Linked DNA regions of Stegostoma tigrinum. The main gene of each other region encodes a partner of the protein of the gene in region 2 in a complex. Links are inferred from orthologs where the notes say so. Each region holds a gene or a part of one and is shown on either strand. Other genes may lie near its edges.

Region 1 (7,249 bases), on a different chromosome or scaffold from region 2:
GTGTGCATTGAGAGATATAGAAGAGAATATAATTACATTTTTCGGAGACCTGTCAAAATCTTGACTTGCCCTCCCTATTGGCATTAAGGGTCTACCTACAGCAAATGGACTATAGCAATCAAGAAGACAGTTCACCATCACTTTCCCAACTAGGGATGGGCAATAAGTCCTGGCACTGCCAACAATGTTCAAATTGCATAAATGAATAAAAAAAATTTCCTGAAAAAAGAAACCGGGCAAACACAAGAAAGTCAAATTTCAAACCATCTCAAATTTCACATTTTTACATTTATTCAGATGAATGCAAGAGGAAAAGATTTGACAACATGAGAAAATGGTGAAAGATCATTTGCATAGTTGGTAAATTGTTGACAGAGATATTATGTTCAATTTTAACCAGCACAAAAACTCAGCTGCACAGTTAACACTGTGAGAAGAATGTCAAGGAACGTAACATTATATGAAGGGCGCAGTCTCCATTATAATGTAGGAGAATGACAACACTTCACCAGTATTTTGTTCACAACCGATGTTAGGGATTTCCTGAGGCCTATAATGGGTAAGTTAACAGCAGAAGGGTTTTCAAATGCCGTACCTGTGCTAATAAACTGAATGCTGGTTTATAACTGGTAGATGGTGATGCAATGGTATGTCACCATGCTAGTAGTACTAGAGTCTCAGGCTCATGTTGTGGGGACATATCCTCATGGTTCACTCAAACCATCCAAAATTCCATAGCTAATCCTTTTAGAACTCACTGTACTCCACACTTAAATTTAAAGTAAGCAGAAGAGTGCATGACCATATTTCTGGGAATGATGAGAGTTCTGACATAGGGGAGGCCTTATAATCGCAGCCAAAAGGACTGGTAAATATACTGCTCATACTCTGCTGCCTATGAGCAGTGATTCAAATGCAAATGCTCTGAATCAAACAGTGTATCATTTTTCAGAGTGCTGATTAGGACGTAAAAGAAAGATAATGTGATCACTGACTTAAATCACAGTGGTGTGACAACAGCTTGCATTTAAGTAATATTTTTATTAGTCACTTGGTACTTCAGAACTTGAATATTGCTGAAAAGAGAGAGATGTTGTCCAGGTTTTTCATTTTACACACATTAGGATAGATACAAGACTGACAAATTTCAAGTAATCACGGCACACTAGCTTGGAGAGCCGTTAGTCCTGCATTGCTTTCTTTACAGCAATGCATTAGTGAAATGGAGTAAATTAGCTGACCAATCAGAGCCTTTTCTCCATGATATAAATCATTATAACGGTTTGAAACCTGGCATTCTTGCATTTGACCTGATGAGTACAAAGCGAACAGTTTCACCAACATGTTCAGCAACATTGAAAGGTTTTAAATACTCAGTCTTTGATAATATTCAAGACTGAGACCATTAAGATTTTTGAGTACTCAGGAAATTCGGGGATTTGGGTTGAGAGCAGAAGGTAAATTGAGGGAAAAGATCAGGCATATCTTATTGGATGGACGAAAAGGCTTGAAGAGTCAAACAGCCTTCCTCTGCTTCCATTTCTCACTGTTTTGGAAAAGTGTAACTTTTGCCCTGAGAGGTATAGAAGAGAATATATTAAGTATTGTGGGTCTACCTATAGCGAAGGGACTGCAGCAGTTCAAGAAGATTATTCATCACCACTTTCCTATGGGCAACTAGGGATGGGCAATAAATGCTAGTGCAGCCAGCACATCCAGATTCCATTACTGAATAATAAAATGAAAGTTGCTGAGAAGAAGCACATACTGCCAAAGGTATTCCTCTTGAATTTATCAGGATGAACAGAAAAATGCCAAATTTCAAACAATCTCAAACTTCACATTTTGCATGAAAAGATTCAACAACATGAGAAAATGGTGAAAGATCATTCTAATAGTTGGCAAATTGTTGACAGGGGGATATTAGGCTCAATTTTAACCCAAGTCTTTTTATAGGAATTGAACACAGAGCTATGTAAAGAGACATTAGTGCAGACGGTCAAAAGTTAGGTCAGAGAAGCAGATTATAACGACCATCTCAAAGAAGGAGGGAAAGGCAGAGATGTGGAAATGTTCAAAGAGGGAATGTTAGAGTTACAACATGTCATAAATGGGAAAAACCAGTGAAGACTTAACTGATATATTTTCAAGGTAACAGAAGTGTGGAAGTGGGTGAACATAGCAGGCCAAGCAGCATCTTAGGAGCACAAAAGCTGACGTTTCGGGCCTAGACCCTTCATCAGAAAAGGCCTTTTCTGATGAGGGGTCTAGGCCCGAAACGTCAGCTTTTGTGCTCCTTAGATGCCGCTAGGCCTGCTGTGTTCATCCAGCTCTACACTTTGCTATCTCAGATTCTCCAGCAACTGCAGTTTCCATTATCTCCGTTATATTTTCAAGTCAGGATTGTATGGGGCTTGAAAGTAAATTTCCAGGAAGTGGTGTTCTCATGTATCTGGTGTCCTTGTCCTTCTTGATCACAGAGATTGAGGTATTTAGAAAATGCTGTCTAAGAAGCCTTGCTGAGTTGTCACAGTACATCTTTTAGATAGAATAGATTGGTGTCTGTTGAATCAGTGGTTGACTCTTAAGTTCTGTTAAGTTAAAAGGCAAAAGCAAGAAGGAGAGGCAGACCCAGTCTAACTTCTGTGGAGTATTCATCATCAGGATTTGTCATTGACAAAGACATCAAAGGAGAAATGGGGAAACAGGCTCGACGGGCTAAATGGCCTCCTCCTGCTCCTATTTTCCATATTGCTCTGTGGTCCTACCGAGATTCTCCTTCAAGGGGTAATGCTTTGCACCCACTCGAACAATAAAATCTTAGAAACCCTATAGTGCAGAAAAAGGCCATTCAGCCTAGTGAGCCATTTGGATCAAGGTCAATTGCAGAAGGATTCTTTCGATACTGCAGCACTCCCTCAAACAGGGCAGCACTCCTTCAGTAACGCTCCTCAGGATTCATTAAAAATGTGCTGCCATTAGTGTGGCAGACAAAATTTCCTATGAATGGATGTTCTTTTACAAGTGTCAACAAGTAGTTCAAGCTAGTGTATTGCATCTAATTCTGCAGACAATCCTCTAATAAGGATGTCAAAGTGTAATTTTGGGACAAAAATAGAAATTGCTGGAAAAGCTCAGCAGGTTCAGCAGCATCTGTGGAGCGAAATCAGAGTTAATCATTTGGATTGAGTGACCCTTCCTCAGAATTTAGAGATAACGTTTCGGGTAAAGTGGCCCTTCCTCAGAATTAGAGTTGAGTAATAAATGCTGACCATTTCAGTAATTTCCAAAAACCACAAATTAATAAAAAGGATCATGACAATGTGGTGCTGATTTATTGTGATGGCAACAGGGATGAGGGACTTTGGTTACGTGGAACGATGACAGCAGCTCTACTCCTGTACTTAGAAGAATGTATAGCAACTTTATTGAAACATACATGATTCTAAGGAGACTTAAAGCAATGGCGCAGTTGCTCAGTAGTTGGCACTGCTGTCTCCAGTACCAGAGACTCAGGTTTTGAGCAACTGTCTATGTGGAGTTTGTACGTTCTTACTGTGTCTGCATGGGTTTCTGTAGCATGCTTCAGTTTCCTCCCACAGTCCAAAAATGTGCAAGTTAGGTGGATTGACCATGCTAAGTTGTCTGTAGTGCCCAGGGATGTGCAGGCAAGGTGGGTTAGCTATTGTAAATTAAGGATTATAGGGGAGGGGCCAGGTTTGGGTGAGATGCTTTTCGGAGGGTTGGTGCAGACTTGATGGGCTGAATGGCCTTTTTCTGCACTGTAGGGTTTCTAAGATTTTATTGTTCGAGTGGGTGCAAAGCATTACCCCTTGAAGGAGAATCTCGGTAGGACCATAGAACAATATGGAAAATAGGAGCGGGGGAGGCCATTCAGCCCTTCGAGCCTGTTTCCCCATTTCTCCTTTGATGTCTTTGTCAATGACAAATCCTGATGATGAATACTCCACAAAAGTTAGACTGGGTCTGCCTCTCCTTCTTGCTTTCGCTTTTTAACTTTACTGCTCATTGATACACTCCCTCGGCACTCCAACTCACTGCCACAGTCACCGCCTCAACAAGGGACCCCGCCCTCGCCACGAGACAGACAGCCGGCGGGACCAATCGCAAGGATGAGTAGCGGACAGTAGGCGGGGCCAGGTGGGGGCCAATCGATGGTGGCTAAGGGGCGGGGTTTGCCGGACGTCACGTGACGGGCGGGTGGTAGGCTGGCGGCCGAAGGAGTGAGAGACTGTATTGTGTGAGGTGGGGCGGCTGGCCGAGTAACCGACCGATTGGTGTCCACTCCCCTCACGCCCGTTCCGCGGGGCGGAGAGAAGGTGACTTCCATCGCGTGGTGCCGCCGCCCCTCCTCCTCCACCACCTCCTGAAAGAGGGTCTCTGCCTGTGGCAGGTAGGTGGGCGCGGAGATCCTTGCGGCCCTGCTCCCTCCCGCTTGACGGGTTTCAGGAGGAGGCCGGAGGGTCAGGGAATAGGGCCGGCAGCTGGCATGGCGGCGGGAACCGTTAAATCAGGCGCGCGCTTCTGCCCCCGGGGCATCGGGCACTACCAGCAGAGCAACCCCTTAGCTCCCGTTCATCCCCACCCCGCCCCCGGGTCGGAATACCCTCACCATGTCCAATATAGACCCGTCACCTTTCTTCCCAGCCCCGCCGTGTGGTCCGAATCCACACCCCCAGCCCCCGTCCGACATAGACCCGTCACATTCTCTTCTCTTTTCCCCCTCCCCGCTGTCCGAATGCTCCACCATTTCCGATATTCTCCAACCTCGCCCCGACGCTTTCCCCTCCTCCGCACCCCCCCCCCCGCCTGCCTGACATTCCCCCCGCCCCGTTCCCCTCCCCCTCGTCCTGTCTGCCACTTCACGCCCCCGTCCTGTCTGACTGCCCTCTCACACCACCACCCCCCCCCCCCGTCCCGTCCCGTCCCATCCCATCCCGTCCCGTCCGCCTTCTCTTCCCCGCTCCTCCCCTCCCTCACCAACCCCCGGCCCCCTCCACTCTAATCCTCCCGACACTCCACGCCTCTCCCCACCCCCCCCCCACCCCGACCCCCTCCTCCTCCCCCCCACCCCGACCCCTTCCTCCCCCCCACCCCGACCCCTTCCTCCCGACCCCTTCCTCCCGACCCCTTCCTCCCGACCCCTTCCTCCTCCCCCCCCCCCACCCCGACCCCTTCCTCCTCCCCCCCCCCACCCCGACCCCTTCCTCCTCCCCCCCCCACCCCGACCCCTTCCTCCTCCCCCCCCCACCCCGACCCCTTCCTCCTCCGACCCCCCCGCCGCTTTCCCCCCGCAACCCCATCCTCTCCCCCCGACCCCATCCTCTCCCCCCGACCCCATCCTCTCCCCCCGACCCCATCCTCTCCCCCCGACCCCGACCCCATCCTCTCCCCCCCCGACGCCATCCTCTTCTCTCCCCCCCCCGACCCCCTCCTCTCCCCCCCCCCGACCCCCTCCTCTCCCCCCCCCCGACCCCCTCCTCTCCCCCCCCCGACCCCCTCCTCTCCCCCCCCCCGACCCCCTCCTCTCCCCCCCCCCGACCCCCTCCTCTCCCCCCCCCGACCCCCTCCTCTCCCCCCCCCCGACCCCCTCCTCTCCCCCCCCCCGACCCCCTCCTCTCCCCCCCCCGACCCCCTCCTCTCCCCCCCCCCGACCCCCTCCTCTCCCCCCCCCGACCCCCTCCTCTCCCCCCCCCGACCCCCTCCTCTCCCCCCCCCGACCCCCTCCTCTCCCCCTCCTCTCCCCCTCCTCTCCCCCTCCTCTCCCCCCCCGACCCCCTCCTCTCCCCCCTCCTCTCCCCCTCCTCTCCCCCCCCGACCCCCTCCTCTCCCCCCCCGACCCCCTCCTCTCCCCCCCCGACCCCCTCCTCTCCCCCCCCGACCCCCTCCTCTCCCCCCCCGACCCCCTCCTCCCCCCCCCACCCCGACGCCATCCTCTCCCCCCCTGCCATCCTGTCCCCCCCGACCCCCTCCTCTCCCGAACCCCTCCTCTCCCCCCCCCGACCCCCTCCTCCCCCCCCCCACCCCGACGCCATCCTCTCCCCCCCTGCCATCCTGTCCCCCCCCCCTCCTCTCCCCCCCCGACCCCCTCCTCTCCCCCCCCGACCCCCTCCTCTCCCCCCCCGACCCCCTCCTCTCCCCCCCCCCCACTCCGACGCCATCCTCTCCCCCCCCCGCCATCCTGTCCCCCCCGACCCCCTCCTCTCCCGAACCCCTCCTCTCCCCCCCCCCACCCCGACGCCATCCTCTCCCCCCCTGCCATCCTCTCCCCCCCTCCTCCTCTCCCCCCCCGACGCCATCCTCCCCCCCCCCCCCCCCCGGCGCCATCCTCTTCCCCCCCCCGGCGCCATCCTCTTTCCCCCCCCCGGCGCCATCCTCTTTCCCCCCCCCGGCGCCATCCTCTTTCCCCCCCCCGGCGCCATCCTCTTCCCCCCCCCCGGCGCCATCCTCTTCCCCCCCCCCGGCGCCATCCTCTTCCCCCCCCCCGGCGCCATCCTCTTCCCCCCCCCCCGGCGCCATCCTCTCCCCCCCCCCGGCGCCATCCTCTCCCCCCTCTCCTCCCCCCCCCCCTCCTCCCCCCCCCCCTCCTCTCCCCCCCCCCTCCTCTCTCCCCCCCCCTCCTCTCTCCCCCCCCCTCCTCTCTCCCCCCCCCTCCTCTCTCCCCCCCCTCCTCTCTCCCCCCCCTCCTCTCTCCCCCCCCTCCTCTCTCCCCCCCCTCCTCTCTCCCCCCCCCTCCTCTCTCCCCCCCCCTCCTCTCTCCCCCCCCCTCCTCTCTCCCCCCCCTCCTCTCTCCCCCCCCTCCTCTCTCCCCCCCCTCCTCTCTCCCCCCCCTCCTCTCTCCCCCCCCTCCTCTCTCCCCCCCCTCCTCTCTCCCCCCCCTCCTCTCTCCCCCCCCTCCTCTCTCCCCCCCCCTCCTCTCTCCCCCCCCTCCTCTCTCCCCCCCCTCCTCTCTCCCCCCCCTCCTCTCTCCCCCCCCCTCCTCCCTCTCCCCCCCCCTCCTCCCTCTTCCCCCCCCCTCCTCCCTCTTCCCCCCCCTCCTCCCTCTTCCCCCCCCCTCCTCCCTCTTCCCCCCCCCTCCTCCCTCTTCCCCCCCCCACCCCCTCTTCCCCCCCCGACCCCCTCTTCCCCCCCCGACCCCCTCTTCCCCCCCCGACCCCCTCTTCCCCCCCCGACCCCCTCTTCCCCCCCCGACCCCCTCTTCCCCCCCCGACCCCCTCTTCCCCCCCCG
Region 2 (7,093 bases):
GGGGGGAAGGGGGGGGAGGGAAGGGGGAGGGGGGGGAAGAGGGGGAAGGGGGGAGGGAAGGGGGAGGGGGGGAAGGGGAAGGGGGAGGGGGGGAAGGGGGGGAGGGAGGGGGGGAGGGAGGGGGGGAAGGGGGGGAGGGAGGGGGGGAAGGGGGGGAAGGGGGGGAGGGAGGGGGGGAAGGGGGGGAAGGGGGGGAGGGAGGGGGGGAAGGGGGGGAGGGAGGGGGGAGGGAAGGGGGGAGGGAAGGGGGGGGAGGGAAGGGGGGGAGGGAAGGGGGGGAGGGGGGGAGGGAAGGGGGAGGGGGGGAGGGAGGGAAGGGAGGGGGGAAGGGAGGGGGGGAGGGAGGGAAGGGAGGGGGGGAGGGGGGGGAGGGGGGGAGGGGGGGAGGGAGGGGGGAGGGGGGGAGGGAGGGGGGAGGGAAGGGGGGAGGGGGGGAGGGAGGGGGGAGGGAAGGGGGGAGGGGGGGAGGGAGGGAGGGAGGGGGGGGAGGGAGGGAGGGAGGGGGGGGAGGGAGGGGGGGGAGGGAAGGGGGGGGAGGGGGGGAGGGAAGGGGAGGGAAGGGGGGGAGGGGGGGAGGGAAGGGGGGGAGGGAAGGGGGGGGGGGAGGGAAGGGGGGGGAGGAGGGAAGGGGGGGAGGGGGGAGGGGGGGGAGGGGGGGAGGGGGGGAGGGGGGGAGGGAAGGGGAGGGAAGGGGGGGAAAGGAAGGGGGGGAGGGGGGAAAGGAAGGGGGGGAGGGGGGGAAAGGAAGGGGGGGAGGGGGGGAAAGGAAGGGGGGAGGGGAGGGGGGAGGGGAGGGGGGAGGGGGGAGGGGAGGGGGGAGGGGAGGGGAGGGGAGGGGGGGAGGGGGGGGAGGAGGGGGAGGGGGGGAGGGGAGGGGGAGAGGGGGGAGGGGAGGGGAGGGGAGGGGGGGAGGAGGGAGGGGAGGGGGGGGGGAGGGGGGGAGGAGGGAGGGGAGGGGGGGAGGGGGGGGAAGGGGGGAGGGGAGGGGGGGGAGGGGGGGGAGGGGGGGAGGGGGGGGAGGGGGAGGGGGGGAGGGGAGGGGGGAGGGGAGGGGGGGAGGGGAAGGGGGGAGGGGAGGGGGGGAGGGGAAGGGGGGAAGGGAAGGGGGGGAAGGGAAGGGGGGGAGGGGGGGAAGGGAAGGGAAGGGGGGAGGGGGGAAGGGGGGAAGGGAAGGGGGGAGGGGGGAAGGGAAGGGGGGAGGGGGGAAGGGAAGGGGGGAAGGGAAGGGGGGAGGGGGGAAGGGAAGGGGGGAAGGGAAGGGGGAAGGGAAGGGGGGAGGGGAAGGGGGGAGGGGAAGGGGGGAGGGGAAGGGGGGAGGGGAAGGGGGGAGGGGAAGAGGGGAGGGGGGGGGGAAGGGAAGGGGGGAGGGGAGGGGGGAAGGGAAGGGGGGAGGGGAGGGGGGAAGGGAAGGGGGGAGGGGAGGGGGGGAAGGGAAGGGGGGAGGGGAGGGGGGGAAGGGAAGGGGGGAGGGGGGGAAGGGAAGGGGGGGAGGGGGGGAAGGGAAGGGGGGGAGGGGGGGAAGGGAAGGGGGGGAGGGGAGGGGGGGAAGGGAAGGAGGGGAGGGGGGGAAGGGAAGGGGGGAGGGGGGAAGGGAAGGGGGAGGGGAAGGGGGAAGGGAAGGGGGGAGGGGAAGGGGGGAGGGGAAGGGGGGAGGGGAAGGGGGGAGGGGAGGGGAAGGGGGGAGGGGAGGGGAGGGGGGGAAGGGAAGAGGGGAGGGGGGAAGGGAAGAGGGGAGGGGGGAAGGGAAGAGGGGAGGGGAGGGGAGGGGGGGAAGGGAAGAGGGGAGGGGGGAAGGGAAGAGGGGAGGGGAGGGGGGGAAGGGAAGAGGGGAGGGGGGGAAGGGAAGAGGGGGAGGGGGGAAGGGAAGGGGGGGAGGGGGGAAGGGAAGGGGGGGAGGGGGGAAGGGAAGGGGGGGAGGGGGGAAGGGAAGGGGGGGAGGGGGGAAGGGAAGGGGGGGAGGGGGGAAGGGAAGGGGGGAGGGGGGGAAGGGAAGGGGGGAGGGGGGGAAGGGAAGGGGGGAGGGGGGGAAGGGAAGGGGGGAGGGGGGGAAGGGGAGGGGGAAAGGGGAGGGGGGGAAGGGGAGGGGGGGAAGGGGAGGGGGAAAGGGGAGGGGGGAAGGGGAGGGGGGGAGGGGGGGGAGGGGGGGGAGGGGGGGGAGGGGGGGGGAGGGGGGAGAGGGGGGGGAGGGGGGGAGGGGGGGGAGGGGGAGGGGGGGAAGGGGAGGGGGGAAGGGGGGGAAGGGGAGGGGGGAAGGGGGGAGGGGGGGAAGGGAAGGGGGGAGGGGGGGAAGGGGAGGGGGCGCGGGGGAGGAGAGGGGGGCGGGGGGAGGAGAGGGGGGCGGGGGGAGGAGAGGGGGGCGGGGGGAGGAGAGGGGGGGCGGGGGGAGGAGAGGGGGGGCGGGGGGGCGGGGGAAGGAGAGGGGGGGGCGGGGGAAGGAGAGGGGGGGGCGGGGGAAGGAGAGGGGGGAGAGGGGGGAGGAGAGGGGGGGCGGGGGAAGAGAGGGGGGGGCGGGGGAAGAGAGGGGGGGCGGGGGAAGAGAGGGGGGGGCGGGGGAAGAGAGGGGGGGGCGGGGGAAGAGATGCTTGACTGAAAGCAAACCCCAAAGGATCTCGCCGCCCCGGACCCTGGAGGTGTCGGCTGAGGCCATTCACAAGACTATGGGATTCCAGTCCCACTCAGGGTCTGTCTGGCTTCAAACCAGCCCCACCAAGTACTTCTACATCCCCAACCAGATTCCCCCACTTTGTGGGAGCTTGCTGTGCACAACCCAGGTGCCACGTTCTCCACACTGGGACAGCGAGGCACTTCCAAAGCAAAATGCCTTCGTTCCGCGCTACAGGGGGACGGCGCTACTGGAATGCAGAATTTCCCTCTGTGTGAATGGACGAGCTGCGCCCCCACACCCCCCCGGCCAGTGAGTACTCGCGGCCATTCAGCCTTCTCAGTGCAAACTGTACTTACAGGGAATGCAGAGCAGATTCAGCAGTGTCCCCGGGAAGAAGTCGGAACGGCGCCTGGAGCCCGGCAGCCGCAGCGCCGCCTCGCTCTCTGTCTCCGGCCACGTAGCGCTGGAAGGCGGAGGCTGGGCGGACGGAGGGCTGCAGAGTGCGCGCACGCTCGGCCCCTGCCACTGTCACTCAGTGAGAATTACCGAAACAAGTGGGTAAATCACTACACCATCCTCTACACCGGGCTGAACTCACCAAATCAGTGTGAACATCACTAAATCAGCCTCTACACCGAGCTGAACTCACCAAATCAGTGTGAACATCACTAAATCAGCCTCTACACCGAGCTGAACTCACCAAATCAGTGTGAACATCACTAAATCAGCCTGTACACCGGGCTGAACTCACCAAATCAGTGTGAACATCACTAAATCAGCCTCTACACCGAGCTGAACTCACCAAATCAGTGTGAACATCACTAAATCAGCCTGTACACCGGGCTGAACTCACCAAATCAGTGTGAACATCACTAAATCAGCCTCTACACCGGGCTGAACTCACCAAATCAGTGTGAACATCACTAAATCAGCCTCTACACCGGGCTGAGCTCACCAAATCAGTGTGAACATCACTAAATCAGCCTCTACACCGAGCTGAACTCACCAAATCAGTGTGAACATCACTAAATCAGCCTCTACACCGAGCTGAACTCACCAAATCAGTGTGAACATCACTAAATCAGCCTCTACACCGAGCTGAACTCACCAAATCAGTGTGAACGTAACTAAATCAGCCTCTACACCGAGCTGAACTCACCAAATCAGTGTGAACATCACTAAATCAGCCTCTACACCGAGCTGAACTCACCAAATCAGTGTGAACATCACTAAATCAGCCTCTACACCGGGCTGAACTCACCAAATCAGTGTGAACATCACTAAATCAGCCTCTACACCGGGCTGAACTCACCAAATCAGTGTGAACATCACTAAATCAGCCTCTACACCGAGCTGAACTCACCAAATCAGTGTGAACATCACTAAATCAGCCTGTACACCGGGCTGAACTCACCAAATCAGTGTGAACATCACTAAATCAGCCTCTACACCGGGCTGAACTCACCAAATCAATGTGAACATCACTAAATCAGCCTCTACACCGGGCTGAGCTCACCAAATCAGTGTGAACATCACTAAATCAGCCTCTACACCGAGCTGAACTCACCAAATCAGTGTGAACATCACTAAATCAGCCTCTACACCGAGCTGAACTCACCAAATCAGTGTGAACATCACTAAATCAGCCTGTACACCGGGCTGAACTCACCAAATCAGTGTGAACATCACTAAATCAGCCTCTACACCGAGCTGAACTCACCAAATCAGTGTGAATATCACTAAATCAGCCTCTGAACCAGGGTGAAAGTCACCAAATCAGTGTGAACATCACTAAATCAGCCTGTACACCGGGCTGAACTCACCAAATCAGTGTGAACATCACTAAATCAGCCTCTACACCGAGCTGAACTCACCAAATCAGTGTGAACATCACTAAATCAGCCTCTACACTGAGCTGAACTCACCAAATCAGTGTGAATATCACTAAATCAGCCTCTGAACCAGGGTGAAAGTCACCACAGTGGAAATCACCATATCACTGTCTCAACTGGTGTAAAAGTCACTAAGTCAGTGTGAAAACCACTAAATCCCCTCTGAATCAGAGAGAATGTCACTGAAACAGGGACAATACATCAAATTAGTCCCTGGACTGGTACAAAAGTCACTGACATGGGGCAAATCAACAAATCAGCCTCTCAACTAGTGTGAATGTCACCAAATGAGTGTAGAAATTACCAAATCCACCTCTAGACGAGGGTGACAGTCACTGAGGGGGAAAATCGCCTAGCTGTGGACATACTAATAAGGACATTGCTAAATCAGCATTGAAATCACCAAAGCATCCTCTGAGCCAGTGCAAAAGGCATCAAACCAGTGTTAAAATCACTAAATCACTGATTGGTCCAGTGTAAACATCACCAAATCAGTGAGGGAATCAGCAAATCAGCCTCTACACTGGTGTGAAGATCACCAAGTGAGTGTTACCATCACTAAATCACTGTGCAAACCAGTGTGAGCACTGCCAAACCTGTGTGGAAATCACTAAATCAGCCTCTAAACCAGTGTGAAAGTCAGCAACTCAGTGTGAATATTACCAAATCACCATGAAAACCAGCATAAACATCACTAATTCAGTATAGAAATCACCAAATCAGCCTCTACACTGGTGTGAAAACCACAATTTCATTCTTCAAATACCTCAATCAACCTCTAAACTGATATGATGCAAATCACCAAATCAACATGTATCAATTTATCCTGTCTACAACTTCATCAGAACAGTTTGAAAAGAGGCAAATCAAAGTGAATCAGTGTGAAATTCACAAGCTTAGTGTAAAATTGCAAAAGTAGGTGTTAACTTCACTTAACCAGTGTGAAATTCACCAAACCAGTGTGAAAGTCAGCAAACACGTCTGAAATTTCCTCAAATCAATAGAAAGCTTGGTTTGAAAAGATTGTGTAGAATTCCCAAAATTCCCAGGCTGAAAATCACCAAATCAGTGCAAAGATCACCAAAACAAACGAAATCTAGAAATCCATGTAAAATTGACCAAATCAGTGCACTCCCAAAATCAACACAAACATACACCAAATATGCATGGAATATTCAAGTGAATGTGAGGAAGTTCAGATACTCCTTGTGCAATGCAGCAGGTCATTGGCCACCTTCCTACACTGCTAGGCCATTAGGCCCATCTAGTGCACACTGACTCTCCAATGAGCATCCCACACAGACCAACCCCAACACCCACACACACAAACCCACACCCACCCTAGCCCCGTAACCCTGTATTTCCCATGGGTAATCCACCCTAATCTGCACATCATTGGACTGTGGGAAGAAACCGGAGCACCAGGAGGAAACCCACGCAGACACAGGGAGAATGTACAAACTCCACACAGACAGTCGCCCGAGTGTGGAATTGAACCTGGTGCTTGGCGCTTTGCGGCAGGAATGCTAACCACTGGGCCACTGTGCCACCCTTACCCCTTGTTGCCCCTTTCTCCCCATTTGCAGCTCCTCCCCCCTCTCTTTGCTTCCCATCCTTGTCCCCTCACACCCTTTTTAAACTCAATTTGCACTATGGTAACCATTCCCCCCAACCTGGCCTTGCTCCCTGGACTTTGTTAGTCTTAATTCCCTCTCCCTCAAACTTCAGAGGTCCTGCATTGTCTGCTCTTAGCCCTCTTGTTTTGGTCTCACTTGCTCTAGCCTTGCTCCTCATTGCCTCTTACCTATTCCTTGCACCCTCATTTACGGGCTGCTTCTCTGTCGCATTTGATGTTGGCATCTTGGAGTGAATGATTCCAACTGCTACAGCGGAACCTGTCTCCAATTGGATGCTCCTGTGAGTGGATTGCCCTGGATATTTGCAGGCCATTTGGAGGTGGGGGATGCACCAGCTGCCCCCATACTGTTGAGCGTTATAAACATGGCTGATAATCCATTGCATGAAAAGGCTCACACTGACTAAAGTTCATCTCTTCAGATAAATGTTAATCCAGAGGCCTGCTCAGGCAGATTGGACAATATTTGAAGAAGTGCAGCTTTAATTTAACCTTCAGCTGACATCACAGAAACACATCATCTGGCCCTTGAGCTCGTTGCTGTTGGTTAAGATCCCAATGAGAGCAAGTTGACTGCTTTGTTTTCTGATGTTACCACAGTAGCAATATTCAAGAAGCTAAAGACCCGCTTCAAGATTTTCTATGGCTGTCTAAAGTGCATTATATATGTTTAAATAGAAACTACTATAGCCAGATTTGCTGTTGACACGATAATGGGTGGAAAAATATGTTGCAATAAAGAAATAAAAAACTTACACATGGGTATGAATTGGATAGGTAAATGGGTCAAAATTTGGCCAATGAGGTTTAACGTGGATAACTGTAAGGTTATCCATTTTGGTCAGAGGTGGAGAAATCTAAATGGAGAGAAACTTCAGAGTGTTTCAGAAAAGAGGGATCTGGGTGTCTTCATGCATGAATTGCAGAAAACTAGTATGCAGGTAATAAGGAAGGCAAATG

What was found.
Region 1: phldb2b (region 2) and ppfibp1b share a complex: the UniProt entries of both Homo sapiens proteins name them as parts of the cortical microtubule stabilization complex. The link is inferred for Stegostoma tigrinum from reciprocal best matches to the Homo sapiens genes PHLDB2 and PPFIBP1.

Annotation. Positions count from the first base shown.
Region 1 is NC_081371.1:46,973,280-46,980,528, forward strand, and holds the start of ppfibp1b (liprin-beta-1b), read left to right. Parts: upstream 1-4,215; 5' UTR 4,216-4,414; intron 4,415-7,249. UniProt on the Homo sapiens protein: May regulate the disassembly of focal adhesions. Did not bind receptor-like tyrosine phosphatases type 2A.
Region 2 is NC_081365.1:78,126,519-78,133,611, forward strand, and holds the start of phldb2b (pleckstrin homology-like domain family B member 1), read right to left. Parts: upstream 3,058-7,093; 5' UTR 2,962-3,057; intron 1-2,961. UniProt on the Homo sapiens protein: Seems to be involved in the assembly of the postsynaptic apparatus. May play a role in acetyl-choline receptor (AChR) aggregation in the postsynaptic membrane.